Linked DNA regions of Styela clava. The protein of the gene in region 2 purifies or fractionates together with the protein of the main gene of each other region. This does not show direct contact. Links are inferred from orthologs where the notes say so. Each region holds a gene or a part of one and is shown on either strand. Other genes may lie near its edges.

Region 1 (6,995 bases), on a different chromosome or scaffold from region 2:
CATAGAATATGTTTGATATACAACTTGGCTTGGCATTGTGTTAAGAGTAAGGAATCCGCTTTATATATATCGCATCGCAGACTACCATACGCGGATTCACAAACTGGGCCCTCTTGGGAGATGGTTAGTTATGTGGAAGATTGCTGGATTCCTCGGCGTTTCGCAAAACGGCTCACTTGATTATCAAATAACCGACCTCGACTGCCAGCAGGGGGAAGTTCTTGGTTCATCCTATGATTATGCCGCGTTGCGGGCTTCCGGTTAAACATTACAAAATCTGGTACTTCTGAGGTATGCGTATCAAGATGGCGGACACCGGAACGTAGTATGTGTACCAGGTTAGGGTTAGGCAATAATTTCAGGTACAACTTATCTAGTCCCCGAACTCGTAATAGAACTAAAATAAGGAAAATTGGAATTAAATTATGGCCTAACCTTAACCTGGTACACATACTACGTTTCGGTGTCCGCCATCTTGGTAGCCATACTTCAATAGAACCCAAAATCTTTCATAATTCAAACTCAAGCCAAACAATCCATTAGACAACACGTTTATGCAACAATGCGGAAACCCTGTATACCATTCTAAAATCAAGACAGATCTCATGCAATCTAGCATAAATATTTAGTAAACACTTACCAAATAACATGACATTATAAAAATATAAAGACATTTTTTACAAAGCACCCGCCATAAAAAATACACCCTCGCCAGCGCTCCAAATAAGAGAATTAATAAATATTCAGTTAGGGATAGGGATACAGATTGCGCTGTCAATTCAAATCATTTCCGACCCTAACCCCAACTGGATATTTACTAATTTGTTGTTTTAAAAAACGTGAATGGGTGTTTTCTCAAATCTCACATTTTTGCATTAGTGGTGCTTTGTATGAAAGATCCAAAATATTATATTAGACAAAAATTCGCCCATCTATTCGCACAATTATCATTGATCATATTTAGTAATCGACTCTTCGCAGCAGATGCGTAAAAACCTATATCCTAGAATCGCCTTACTTGAGAAACTCCACCACTATTCTGTCGGTTGACAAGTTGCGGAGCAGTAGGTTGGACGGCAGCCGGAGATCTGACAACATACGGAACGGAAGCAGTCGCCGAAGAAGCCCATGGATCACCCCCACCTCGGACCAATCTCTGACGATGCTCACTTCGCACACTGTTAGTCATTGGCATTCCGCCAAAATCCTGTATTCAAAGTGCATGTCTGGTTATATTCAAGCGAACTAAGTGAAGTCGACGAAAAACTGGTAAAGGCGTGCGTGACTGGATGGTAACCGTGAAAGAAAACTGATGACGTACCGTAGTTGACTTGTGAAGTCAGCGCAGAAAACATGAATCGAGCATGACATTGGAGTGTATCATCATAATGCTTAATGTGTGATAATCAAGCTTATGAGATTTAATAATTTAGATTGAAGATCTTTGCTGACTTGTGCCTTGCCCAATAAATATAATCTGTGAGTGTTCAGTGATCACATAGCGGCAGCAGAAGATAAAATTATATTTGCAATTGGTGATACATGTACCGAGAGCAGTGAAGAGTCAAAGTGAGTTGAATAATAAAATTAATAAAAAGGCTCTACTACGAATTCCTCGTACCAATGGTGTCCTATGCCATTTATCCGTATCATTTTAAATTTGCATATAAGCAAAATACAGAATAACGTATCTCAAGTTATGGTCCAAATCGCCATTTAAATGGCCTTTTAAGAAAAGACTGCATATTTATACCGTATATAAATCATAAATTTATTTCAAAACTATTCTCCAATCGTAACATCCTAAGTTACTGGATATAATCACATTAGACTTTTCGGCTACCACCACATCTTTTCAACAGTGCTGTGGCCTATGAATCCAACCTGCGAAGAATTCGTCTGGCATACTTCTGACTGAAGTACTGACGTCTGTATCGGTTGGCATTTTACAGAAACGTGTCATGATTTAAAATAGTGAAATAATGATGTTAATAAAAAACTCCTCTTCGAAATCTCAAACGTAGTAGTTACATTCAACATGCATAAAATATGAAAAGAACGAGAATAGCAACACATGCAACAATATACAGATATAAGCAGCAAACATAGCACAAAATAAGTACTAAGGATAATATAAAATTTGATTATTTACTAATAATTAATTAACAGTTGCAATCCGTTCTCTGGGCAAAAGATAAGGATGAGTTTTTCAACCCATTATATCCGAAATAGAAAAGTGATTTGTGACTAATGTGAAAAAGTCCAGAATATATAATATAGATTTTATTGAATATTATCCGGGATTATACAGAGACAATTTTATGTAATTGTCTGACATTCAAAAATAATTTGAAAAATATTTCAAGAAATTTATTTTTTGTGATCTATTAGACTTAGAGTATAAAAATGAACCTGTCTCAATACAAAAATTTATTGTAAAGTCGTTATCTTCAACACGTACTGCATAGAAAATTAAATACTAAAAAGTAAGACTCACTTGGTCCCAAATAGTTGTAGCGGGAAACGTCCAGTCTTGAAACGGTTCCCACGGGGTTGGTCTGTATGGTGTTATATGAATTCGACGTTCTGTTCTTTGTCTTTCAGCCATCGTTATTTATTTATAAACAACCTACTAATAAAAATGGACATTATGAAGATGCCGAGGACATCCTGCCCTGAATATAGCGCAATTCCACGAATTTCTCATTTATGATTCCTGACCAGTTCCATGTAGTCACTAGCTGAATAAGTTCGTACTGTTTTCATAAGCGTACACATTATATTCGATCTGCGGAATAATAAATTTTTACACTAAGCCCCACTATCCCAATTACTGGATACAGAAGCTAGAGCGGCATTTTATCGATCCAGCACCCCCTTTACTTGATCCCAAAATAGTCCCATTGCCTCATCTACATCTGGTTTACTTATTCGTTGCGCGTTCCACTATTCAAAGATCAAACTTAAAAACTGGTCATTAATATTATCTTTCCTGAATATCCCGATCGTAATAACTCGCTTCCATACACTTTGTCTGGCAGTATGTAGCTGAGGTGAAATTTGTAAACTTATTCACAGGTATGAGTTTCTTGCGCTATTTCATCTTATATTCTAAAGCGGGGGAAGATTCCATCGCTCTTTTATCCCAATTTGGGAGTTGGCAATCACTCGTCTGTCGCGTATTTGACATGTCGCAGAGACGATGTTCGACTTGTGACGGCATTTTGTCGAGGGCATTCGCAGCTGTCACCTTGTATGCGCTTGTTTCCTTAATTAAAGCCGTGACTCTATCTTTGGAGTATGTGCTATCGCATACTGTATTACTCCGCCAAGATTGGGCAGAAGATAACTTTATCGCTTCGGAATGCGGGACAAATGTTGCCCACATCTGGCGACTTCAAGAAATGATCGAAGTGCCAACCGGGTGCATTCCGGAGTAGTACTTGTTTTCAATTGAGCATTACTAGATCGAAGGTGCTAATAACAAGGATATCAAATACCACCAAGGACTTATTATAGATCAATTTGTTGTTATACGACTTCAAGTCTTGTTGGCGACCTTTGGTTCGAGTAGAAGATAATACCGCCGGATAAAATCTAATCAAGCCAACGTATCATAGTAATGTAAGAAATTGGTTGCTAAATCTGCTTTTCCTTCGTGCCATATTGGAAAGAGAGAGAGTTTATTTCATTTTGCCAAACCAAGAAACAACATACATATATAAGTATAATAAGTATAAGTTTATTTCGACTCCATAATCAGCAAAACAATAAAATGAATGCTAAAAATAAATAAAAACTGATTATGAAATCAGGAGAGCGAACAAAGCCTTAGATAAGGTTTAAAACGTACAGAATGTATATAAGATGGAAGGTTTTGCCAAGAAGATGTGGTACGTGTTCACTCACCTAAAATAATTGAAATATTTCACACACCGGTATTGTAGCAAGTACATAAGGATAGTTACTGTGTATTTTAATATTTTCACCACTTATTGTTAGTAGTGCATGTTATTTGCCTGAAACAAGGTCGTTGTCCCAATTCATTTCCTTTATGATATATTTCTCTCACTCAGTGTAGCTTGTCTTTGCCGTTATTTGTTAGTTAGAAATTTGGTTTCATCACATATACTTGCTTTAGGGGTTTCAAGTGTAATTCGTTATTTGGATCAATTCGATTGTGCAACTTTACAATATAACATTTGGCATTCAATACATTGTGTGCTTTTTGACCTCTGAAGGAGTCAAGATCGGAGTTACACTCTGTTAACGTGTGTTCAATAACACGGGTGTGTGGACACGCAGATAGGGTCGAATCTTTGTTGCCCTATAGTATATAAAACTATCAAATAAACAGATGCTTTCGGTACATGACTGAAGAGATACGATATGACCTTTAGGGGTCATCGGAGTCAGTTGCCACAAAGAAGAAAAACTGAAGTTGTCCGGTACAAAATTAAAGTCCGGCAATCAATATCCTCCATATTCTACATCGCAATACAGTTTCTAAATAGCGCAATACGAAAATTTGAAAGGAAATTTCTTTTAAGGGGCAAACCGAGCAATAAACTATTTTAAACTGGACTCGCCAAATTTCTGAGTTATATGATCTACTTATTCTACTAAATACTATAACAGCACAACTAATAAAGTAATACAAATAAATGCCGGTAAGTCCCACGGTATGTTAGTCGTTGGTCCCACTCAACGACTAACATACCGGTCCCACTATATAACTATATAATATTTTTGGCTTATATACCGCTGCTGTAGAGATGGCTTGATTCATCGAATGATTCTGTTCCAAATAATATTTGTCAAATAATAAATCTCTCTCTCTCTTCAATCGGTATAAATATGCCTGTGACGAGGGGGTTAACAGGCCCTATAATCCACCCTTTCATCCCAACCCAATACATTCAAATAAATTTGAAAATGGGCCATTAGGAAAAAACGTGCAGCTGAAAAATCTTTCTGCCCGGTCGACAAGTAGGGTGAGCTATTAAATTTACATTAAATCGCTCGTCGTTTGCAAAGGAGATACTGAACACATTGAGACGACACAGTTTGCTTTGTAACCATATGCATCGAGCTAGCGATGGACATAATGCAATTAGTTTATCTAAGATTCTAAGTCATGTATTGGTTTTGGGGTATTTAAAATTGATAGCAGTATTGGCGTAATCGAAAAACCCCTAAAACTTCCAAGCTACCTAGTAGCAGTTTAAGCGAGAGTCTTTTGATGGTATATCTATAGGAGTATCTATTACCCTACACCAGTGGTTCTTAAAGTTTTTGAGCCGCGCCCCCTTCGAAACATTTTACAGACATCGCGCCCCCCTTTTTGCTTTGAAAAAATGCTTTTGTAATGGGCAGGTTAATTTATATTACCATGGCGCTGTAAGTGTTGGTCTCATAGCGTCATTGCTCAGATTGTTTAGGCATAAAACGCATCGGAGTACAACTTCGCCATTCACAGTCGTATACGTATAAAGCCATACTCAAATACATTCTCCTTTTCCCGCTCAGTCTGCAATACCTGGTACAGCCAAACTAAGTTTTAGGTAAAACTAAACAAGCAATAAGTGTATGGTTTTTGCGCTTTAATGTATTTTCTGCCTAAATAATATTTTAAACAAGACACGTAAAACTTCAATCAATTGTTTACTTCATCACTATTGAACAATGCAAAAATTATTTACTGTGTGTTTAAAAAATGGGGTGTACTAGGGTATTGTGTATTGAACTACAGGTCCTTTCTCCTTGTTTACTTTCTATTCCGGATCCGTATGTGGCTGTTGCCACAAGGATGCGTGACTGAGATAGTATTATGAAGATAAATAAAAATAACATTATCTCTTTCCACGAAATATCAAGTATATTTATGAGCTTTCGTTAGATCATAGTCTAACTTCTTCAGATAAAACAAGATATGGCTTAATCAAATAGCGAATAATTCGCTCATAAATATACTTGATATTTCGTGGAAAGAGATTATATTATTTTTGTTTAAAATACACAACAATTACAGATTTCTTGGTTGGCCTGACGTCTCCAAAATTCACTACCAATACCTTTGAACAACCACCAGGTTCAAAAATACAGTTTAAAAATTGTGAAGGAGTGCAAATGAGTTTGTGTACATTTTTAGCATAAAGAAAAGCAGTTCATTTTTTGATAGGTATTAGGCATGTGAACTTTTCCCCGGCCTTTGACCGCTGGAAAATAAAGTCGCTAATAACGTTTGCAATTGAATTTTGTTTAAATCTCCGATTGTTTTCGTCAGCGTGACATGTTATTTAGGCGGTTCAAATATTTATTTCGGTGTTTATTCCCCCTGAATCAGGAAACGGTAAACACCGTGAGTTTTGTTTTGGGGTGGACCATGACAGTTTAAAAACTCTTTTTCTTAGACATTGCAAATCTCATAAATTCCTCGTGCCTGTAGTGTTCTAAGACTACCGACTTGAAATAAGTTTTACTCTGTTGGATTTTATCGCACACTTAGGAATTTCTAGAACGGTGATATCTTAAAATTAATCGAGTGGCAGCATTGCGATGGAGCAGAGTGGGAGTTGCGGGGACAGCTCATATTGGTCTAATGCGCAAGAATACGGAACCAAATGTAATCGGGCACTTTGCTACACATTTTTATGTCCGCGGATTGCTGTTGTATTTTGGGTAAGTGGTGCTTTTATTTTATCGACGCAATCGCAGATTCAGTTTATCACAATTACATAAATAGAGTAACCATTTTAAATATGAATATAGATCATGGATTGAATATTTTATTCAACAGAAAAACCATTACCGTACATAAAAGTCGGCTCTTTTTACGAGTGGCGTAATCTAGACTCGACGACTGACTCAGAAGCCGTACTGCGGGGATTTCGGGGCAATGAATATATATGTATTTTTGATTTACTAATATACTTTATATATTTTCATTATACTAAATTAAATATACTTTCCGGGATTTCATACCAGATCTTTCT
Region 2 (7,351 bases):
TGATTTTAGCATCAAGACTCGAACAAGCTTGACATAGGTAAAAAAAATCGCGAACTTCTATCGGGATTCAATTTCAACAACATAAGAGCAATATTTTATTAAGACTGTCCCTGGGTCTCCTCGAATTACACGTCACACAAAAAGATTAATTTTAACAATTATATAGAAGCGATTATTATAGCTATCTCATGCGTGGGGCGTATACTTTCGGGAAATTTGATATTTGTTCAAATCGTCGTACCAAACATTAGCATGCCATATATATCTTAGACTAAGTGTATGAGAAATGACTGGCAAAAAACGTGTGTAAGCCTTACACCGCTATTATGTATAACTTCTACATACTGGCTTTACACGATATAACGGAAATAGTATTTCACCATTCGCCAACTTTCCCCTTTTCGCCATTATTTCGGTTATTTTCTAAAGCGGCTGCAGGTCTTGTCGGACCTTAGAATAGAACTCCCATTCAACAATATTTTAATAAGTTGAATACAAATTGAAAATGAATTTCGAAACAATGACAAATTTTGAGTATATTTTCGGCTCATAACGAATTACCTGATCATATATTGAATAGAGGATATCCAGGCAAGAATTAGGTGAGATAATATTTCCAGATACGGAGAACGACTCTGTAATAGCCCACGGTAATTTGTCATAAGCCGATTTCGCAAATACCCCAGGTTTAAATAACCTACCCAGCCTTGTGTGAAATTGAGTTATCCAAAAAATCCGTTATTATTTGTTTAGGTATATTCAGGCTTTGTTCGATCCATATCATTTCAAGTGATTAATAGTTATAGTAAGACTATTGCGAAATTCGCTGAACATTAAGTAGCTACCAATGCAATATATGAGGTAAAGAAAATGAAAGACTATTGCAACCGAGCGTCGCAGTAAGCTAGCTAGACCATTATTTCTGACATTCTCATTTCCTTTGTGTTCGATTACTATTGCATTGATTCATAACGGGAAATGATCGTGATGCCAATTTTAACACCATAAACTTTAGCATGATGATTCGCCAAAAACATACATTTTAACTTTGACTGCAACGTATACAATAACATCGATATCCAATACTTATGTGTCATGGTAAAATTTCGCCATGACGCAAATTCCAGTGAAATGTAATTATCTCGGGCGAACGCGCAGGAACAGTGCGTCAATGAACAAAATAAGTCGTTAGTTTTTGCGAAAATATATAAAAAAATTAACATCTGTACCGAAGCTCCAAGAACTACGAAGATATGCGCTTGGCCAAGCATGATCTCCATGGAGAGGGCTCTCTTGAACCGCTTCATCAGGTTGCCTTCACTATCAATCTCCGGTAGAACTCCTAACGTGTCTAGCTCTTCTGACATTGTGCTGGTTTCTGTTTAGTCACAGTTTAAATAGTCTGGGAAGAGATCAATGAAAAAGCGAAATCATGTAAAATATATAAACAAAGCACGTATATGTATTGCGAGCATCTCGCGTCCCAAATTCCTGACTACTCGAGGGCGACACACAGCGATTTTTAGTATGAACATTTTTCTTACATTGGTGTACTGGATCATACGCAATCGGGTGGTGCTTACGACATATTAGTCGTTTTCAAAAAAGTAGAATTTAGCAAAACACTGCATTCTGCATAAATATTCGAATAAAAACACTTGTTAAACGGGACTAGACCCCCTAGCTAGATCAAGGGTGAGCAATTACTATCCTGAAGGGCTAGATACAAAAACTAGAATTAATAGGTTAGTGGGCTGGATGCATAAAACTCAATATGAAAAACTATGAATAAATAACATTTTATTTACAAAAGCTAGTCCAACATTTATATAACAATATGAAGCACGACGTAACAACTAACAATCAAGGTCATCATGTGCGATTTTCATCAATATTTTCAATGAAAATTTATGTGTATAAAAGTATGGTCATCCGGCATGCGAGCCGTAATTTGCCCACCCCTGCCCTAGATAGTATTTTACTTTAAAAATTTTGGGCACTATCAGAATGCGTTTTTGATAATCGAATCCCATGCGAGTGCAAAAGGATTACTGGGCTTCTCGCTGCCATAGGGCGGTTCCCGAAACCGCTGCTCGGCTAGGCTTCCTCCACGATCAAGTCAATGCATCTAAAAACAACTCAACTGGCTAACTAATCCCAAACTCGACATGAACTGGTAACCGGACCAGAGGCCGTGTTTTGCCATATGATTAAGCCTTCTAATCGGCTTTCCTCCCCCTCGGAATAAATATGTAATCCTATCCTATCAATTGGGGAAGGGCGATATACAGCCACGCTATGGAGTCAAATTTTTTCTGAAGAAAAGGCTTTTAATCAGAAGTTTTGATTTGATGGGGCCTACACTGCGTAACAATTTTTTGTTCCCAGCTTTTTACCTGGATTTCCTGCTAGCATTTAATATGTACAGTACAGACTTTTGGTTTTGTGAAAATGGGGCGATTTCAACAAAATCAGGTTTTTGTGGGTGATATAAAACTGCACAAATGGTGCTATATTTCAGTGTTTTGATATTTCAAAGATGTATTTCTGGAATTCTATGTTAGAAATCTTGAAAAAAATAACACAAGCACATGTTAAACGACTGTTTGGTAACCAGAAAAATGTTTTTTTTTGCCAGACACCACACCACTATTCCACAACTAAGTCCCCATATGTAGTCACCCATCCTTTGCTCATTATACTGTCATTGGTAAGAAACATTTAAAATCCAATTATGCCACGATAGGTGTGTGTCAAAAGGGCAATTTTCAAATGCAACATTGACATCAAAATTTAGTTGTGAAGTGACCAGTTGTAGGGTCCCAATTTATGTCGCATTTACCGCTGATAAATTCAGTTCTATGTAGACCTTTCATCTGAAAACAGTGAAATTCGCCAGATTTGTCGAGATCACTGTGCATTGAATATGTCATCAAGACAGACATTCTTTTTCAGAAAGGATTGATGTTGCTTCTGTCACATTCTATATATTCTTTTTTGAATGCTATTTGAGGTCCTAGGTATCTATCTCAAAATTAAAAAAAATTGCATTTTTTTCAGTTTTGGGTGTAACCAATTACAAGCCAGGAACAAAAATTATGTTACACAGTGTCATGTTTGATATACCACCATTTTGTTAAGTTGAATGATAAGAATAATATAAAAAAATATATATATACTAATCAATGCACATAGTTAGAATTATGAAATATGCATGAAATGGCTGCATCGGAAGCCTCTATTAAAGAACAAACCTCTGATAGTATCATGCCACATAAATTAAACATTGTGCAGTAAGCATTTTCATCACAAATTGACCCTCGAAATCGACAGCATGCGAAATTCTGATATTACACAAATTTGTTGGCTATATCAGTACCCAAAATATTCAGAAATACCTACCGTAACTAATAATGTTATAAAAATGATACTATACGAGAACTCAGAACATATTCGTTTCAAACAATTCAATTGGCAAGAAATTGCTTAAAAAACAGTGGAGCATCCCTCTAAATAGTAATTTTAACCCATATCAAGGTAATAAACCCAAGATCGGAAGATTACATATGCCAAGGCGATAGGATTGATCCAACTTGCTTTAGAAGGGATGCTTTAATCAATGTTGTACAGTTCCAAACCATCTTTATTTTGCGATTGCAGGATTGTCCCTTGTTTTTTGGTTTATTTATTTCAGTAGGTAGGATGTAGGTGAGTTTTAAAAAATTGATTTGACGTTCTGAAACTTATCACTCTACTCAAGCTGTCATGGCCTTGCTTTGAGCAAACTTTCATATAAATCTTTAAAAATGGCAACTGTATCGTATGCTGTGCATGAAATTAAATTCCGATGCGTACAGCCATAAATATGGTGACCTGATATTGCAAGAATATATTTGAAATATGGTTTAAATCTCAAATAATCCCGTAATCATAATAAAATTATTTACCGGAAAAATCTTAACATACTGACATAAGCAATGCACAGCACAAACCTGCAAATGGTGAAATGGCATAACTGCAGAATGGGGAATTTTTATATTTACAGTCTTGAATAAAAAATAATAATTAACAGGTTTCTAAATTTTCCAATCTACTGAATCTAATTTTCAAAAATTATCCTTACTGCAGCAGTACAGCAGTACTGACAGCAAATAGCAATACCGGTACTCTGTTAATTTATTACAAAATTATTCGGACATCGCCGAAGTCTGGAAGTTCTGATGTTAGACATTAATGTTAAAGTGTCGACGGGTCCAAATTCTGCTCTGTCTACGTACTGACGTATGTACAGATGTAACGGCGTCTGCAGCAGCTGCACAAAACAGGGACAACACTAAAAGGCTGAAGGAAGAAACGGATGAAGTGGCGGAAAAACGGAAGTTGATGTGTTCCCAAAGGTGAAAAATTGAAAAACACTAAAAGGCTGAACACTAAAACGAAGAAGTGGAAGAAATTTCTTCCGAGGTGGCTGAAACCACTAAAAAGCTGAACACTAAAAGGAAGAAGTGGATGAAATTTCTTCCGACGAATAATGAGGTGGTTGAAGCGGTTGAAGTCACTAAAAAGATGAACACTAAAAGGAAGAAGTGGATGAAATTTCTTCCGACGAATAATGAGATAGTTGAAGTCACTAAAAAGCTGAACACTGAAAGGAAGAAGTGGATGAAATTTCTTCCGACGGGTGTTGATGTGGTTGAAGTCACTAAAAAGCTGAACACTAAAAGGAAGAAGTGGATGAAATTTCTCCCGACGGGTGTTGATGTGGTTGAAGTCACTAAAAAGCTGAACACTGAAAGGAAGAAGTGGATGATATTTCTTCCGACGGGTGGTGAGGTTGCCGAGGTCACTAAAAAGCTGAACACTAAAAGGAAGAAGTGGAGGAAATTTCTCCCGACGGGTGTTGATGTGGTTGAAGTCACTAAAAAGCTGAACACTAAAAGGAAGAAGTGGATGAAATTTCTCCCGACGGGTGTTGATGTGGTTGAAGTCACTAAAAAGCTGAACACTAAAAGGAAGAAGTGGATGAAATTTTTCTACTACAGGTGGTGAGGTGGCTGAGGTCACTAAAAAGCTGAACACTAAAAGGTAGAAGTGGATGAAATTTCTCCCGACGGGTGTTGATGTGGTTGAAGTCACTAAAAAGCTGAACACTGAAAGGAAGAAGTGGATGATATTTCTTCCGACGAGTGGTGAGGTGGCCGAGGTCACTAAAAAGCTGAACACTAAAAGGAAGAAGGGGATGAAATTTCTCCCGACGGGTGTTGATGTGGTTGAAGTCACTAAAAAGCTGAACACTGAAAGGAAGAAGTGGATGAAATTTCTTCCGACGGGTGTTGATGTGCTTGAAGTCACTAAAAAGCTGAACACTGAAAGGAAGAAGTGGATGAAATTTCTCCCGACGGGTGTTGATGTGGTTGAAGTCAACAAAAAGCTGAACACTGAAAGGAAGAAGTGGATGATATTTCTTCCGACGGGTGGTGAGGTTGCCGAGGTCACTAAAAAGCTGAACACTAAAAGGAAGAAGTGGAGGAAATTTCTCCCGACGGGTGTTGATGTGGTTGAAGTCACTAAAAAGCTGAACACTAAAAGGAAGAAGTGGATGAAATTTCTCCCGACGGGTGTTGATGTGGTTGAAGTCACTAAAAAGCTGAACACTAAAAGGAAGAAGTGGATGAAATTTCTCCCGACGGGTGTTGATGTGGTTGAAGTCACTAAAAAGCTGAACACTGAAAGGAAGAAGTGGATGATATTTCTTCCGACGGGTGGTGAGGTGGCCGAGGTCACTAAAAAGCTGAACACTAAAAGGAAGAAGTGGATGAAATTTCTCCCGACGGGTGTTGATGTGGTTGAAGTCACTAAAAAGCTGAACACTAAAAGGAAGAAGTGGATGAAATTTCTCCCGACGGGTGTTGATGTGGTTGAAGTCACTAAAAAGCTGAACACTAAAAGGAAGAAGTGGATGAAATTTCTTCCGACGGGTGTTGATGTGGTTGAAGTCACTATAAAGCTGAAAACTAAAAAGACGAAGTGGATGAAATTTCTTCCGACGGATAGTGAAGAAAATTTATTATATTAGTTTAATATTTATGAGACAATGTCCTCGTGGATTCGTTTTATGTTAATTTTTTATATGGTATTCTCAGTTCGAGCCTGGCGAATATTGAAGGCCATGACATTCTCGTTATATTGTTTTTAATTTTGATGTAATGTGCAAGCAAATTGCTATATATATATACTCATTTCTAGCTGTTACTGCCGTATAATGGATTTGTTGCGCCACAATGGGTGGGTTACGGCGAGGCATGTTTTGCAAATAGATATCTTGTTTTTCAAGACGCGTGAAGCTGATTTTGTTATCAAATCAATTTTTCCAATCAACAAATCTTGTAATTTATAATATGTTTGTGGCCCGCCTCAAAATGGCTCTGAGGCTTACCAGTGGGCCATGGCACATTGGTTAAGAAACAGTGGTCTAACAGGACTTCAATTTGACTAATACATCATTATTTCAAGTCTTCGTGCGTGAACTGCTTGCAAAATTTTAAAAACAGATATTAAGTTTAAGGAATGGAATACGGAATCAAAAATTAATTATATTCGGGCACAATACCACGGCAATCTATGTACATAGATGTGTGGCCAACTGCGCGATTGTTATTTATTTTTTGATTCCTATTTTCGTATATACAAAATACAACGGCGATCCATGGACTTGAAAATGTGTGGTAAACTGCCCGATTATAATTAGTTTTTGATTCATATTTTCGTATTTATAAAATAATAAAAGATATATATGCGGACATTGAAGTGCCCGAATATAATTAATTTTTCATTCGTGTTTACGTACTCACGAAAAAATTGTCGCAAATCAGAAATATAATTTATACTTTATACCGCTTTTTGGCAAATAATTTGGATAATGGTTGGTATTCAAACTTTTTAGGATGATTTTGTGTTGCGCAAAATGTTCAAATCCATGACCGATAGCACTATTTTAAATGCTTGCCGTATTAATTTGATTCTGATAACGTAACTCATGGTATATGAAAATATATAGCAGTAATCTGCAAACATGAAATGCATGGTAGACAACATGTTGTTGATGACAGTTATTCCATTGTTTATTGTATGCAAATTCCTTTATATAGGCTACTATAGATAAGCCTCAATTATTTTATTTTCGAATGTATTCGAAATAGTGAACTATTCGGTATTGACCAACCATCCCCTTAGGACTGAAGCAATTTGATGCAACTCAATTGTGAAAATAAGCGCAGGAAACAATTCTATTGTAACATCTTAAACAGTGCTGCAACAGTAACAGCATTGGTTCCCGCAGTCCCACCCCAGA

Evidence for each region. The genes of interacting proteins can lie anywhere in the genome.
Region 1: the proteins of glucose-6-phosphate 1-dehydrogenase-like (region 2) and heat shock protein beta-1-like fractionate together in Homo sapiens (co-fractionation; 3 studies listed by BioGRID and IntAct, with this or other methods). This does not show direct contact. The link is inferred for Styela clava from reciprocal best matches to the Homo sapiens genes G6PD and HSPB1.

The regions. Positions count from the first base shown.
Region 1 is NC_135252.1:17,838,491-17,845,485, forward strand, and holds the start of heat shock protein beta-1-like, read right to left. Parts: upstream 3,076-6,995; 5' UTR 2,609-3,075; coding exon 2,498-2,608; intron 1,208-2,497; coding exon 1,019-1,207; intron 1-1,018. UniProt on the Homo sapiens protein: Small heat shock protein which functions as a molecular chaperone probably maintaining denatured proteins in a folding-competent state. Plays a role in stress resistance and actin organization.
Region 2 is NC_135258.1:19,449,603-19,456,953, reverse strand, and holds the start of glucose-6-phosphate 1-dehydrogenase-like, read right to left. Parts: upstream 3,036-7,351; 5' UTR 2,843-3,035; intron 1,403-2,842; 5' UTR 1,368-1,402; coding exon 1,230-1,367; intron 1-1,229. UniProt on the Homo sapiens protein: Catalyzes the rate-limiting step of the oxidative pentose-phosphate pathway, which represents a route for the dissimilation of carbohydrates besides glycolysis.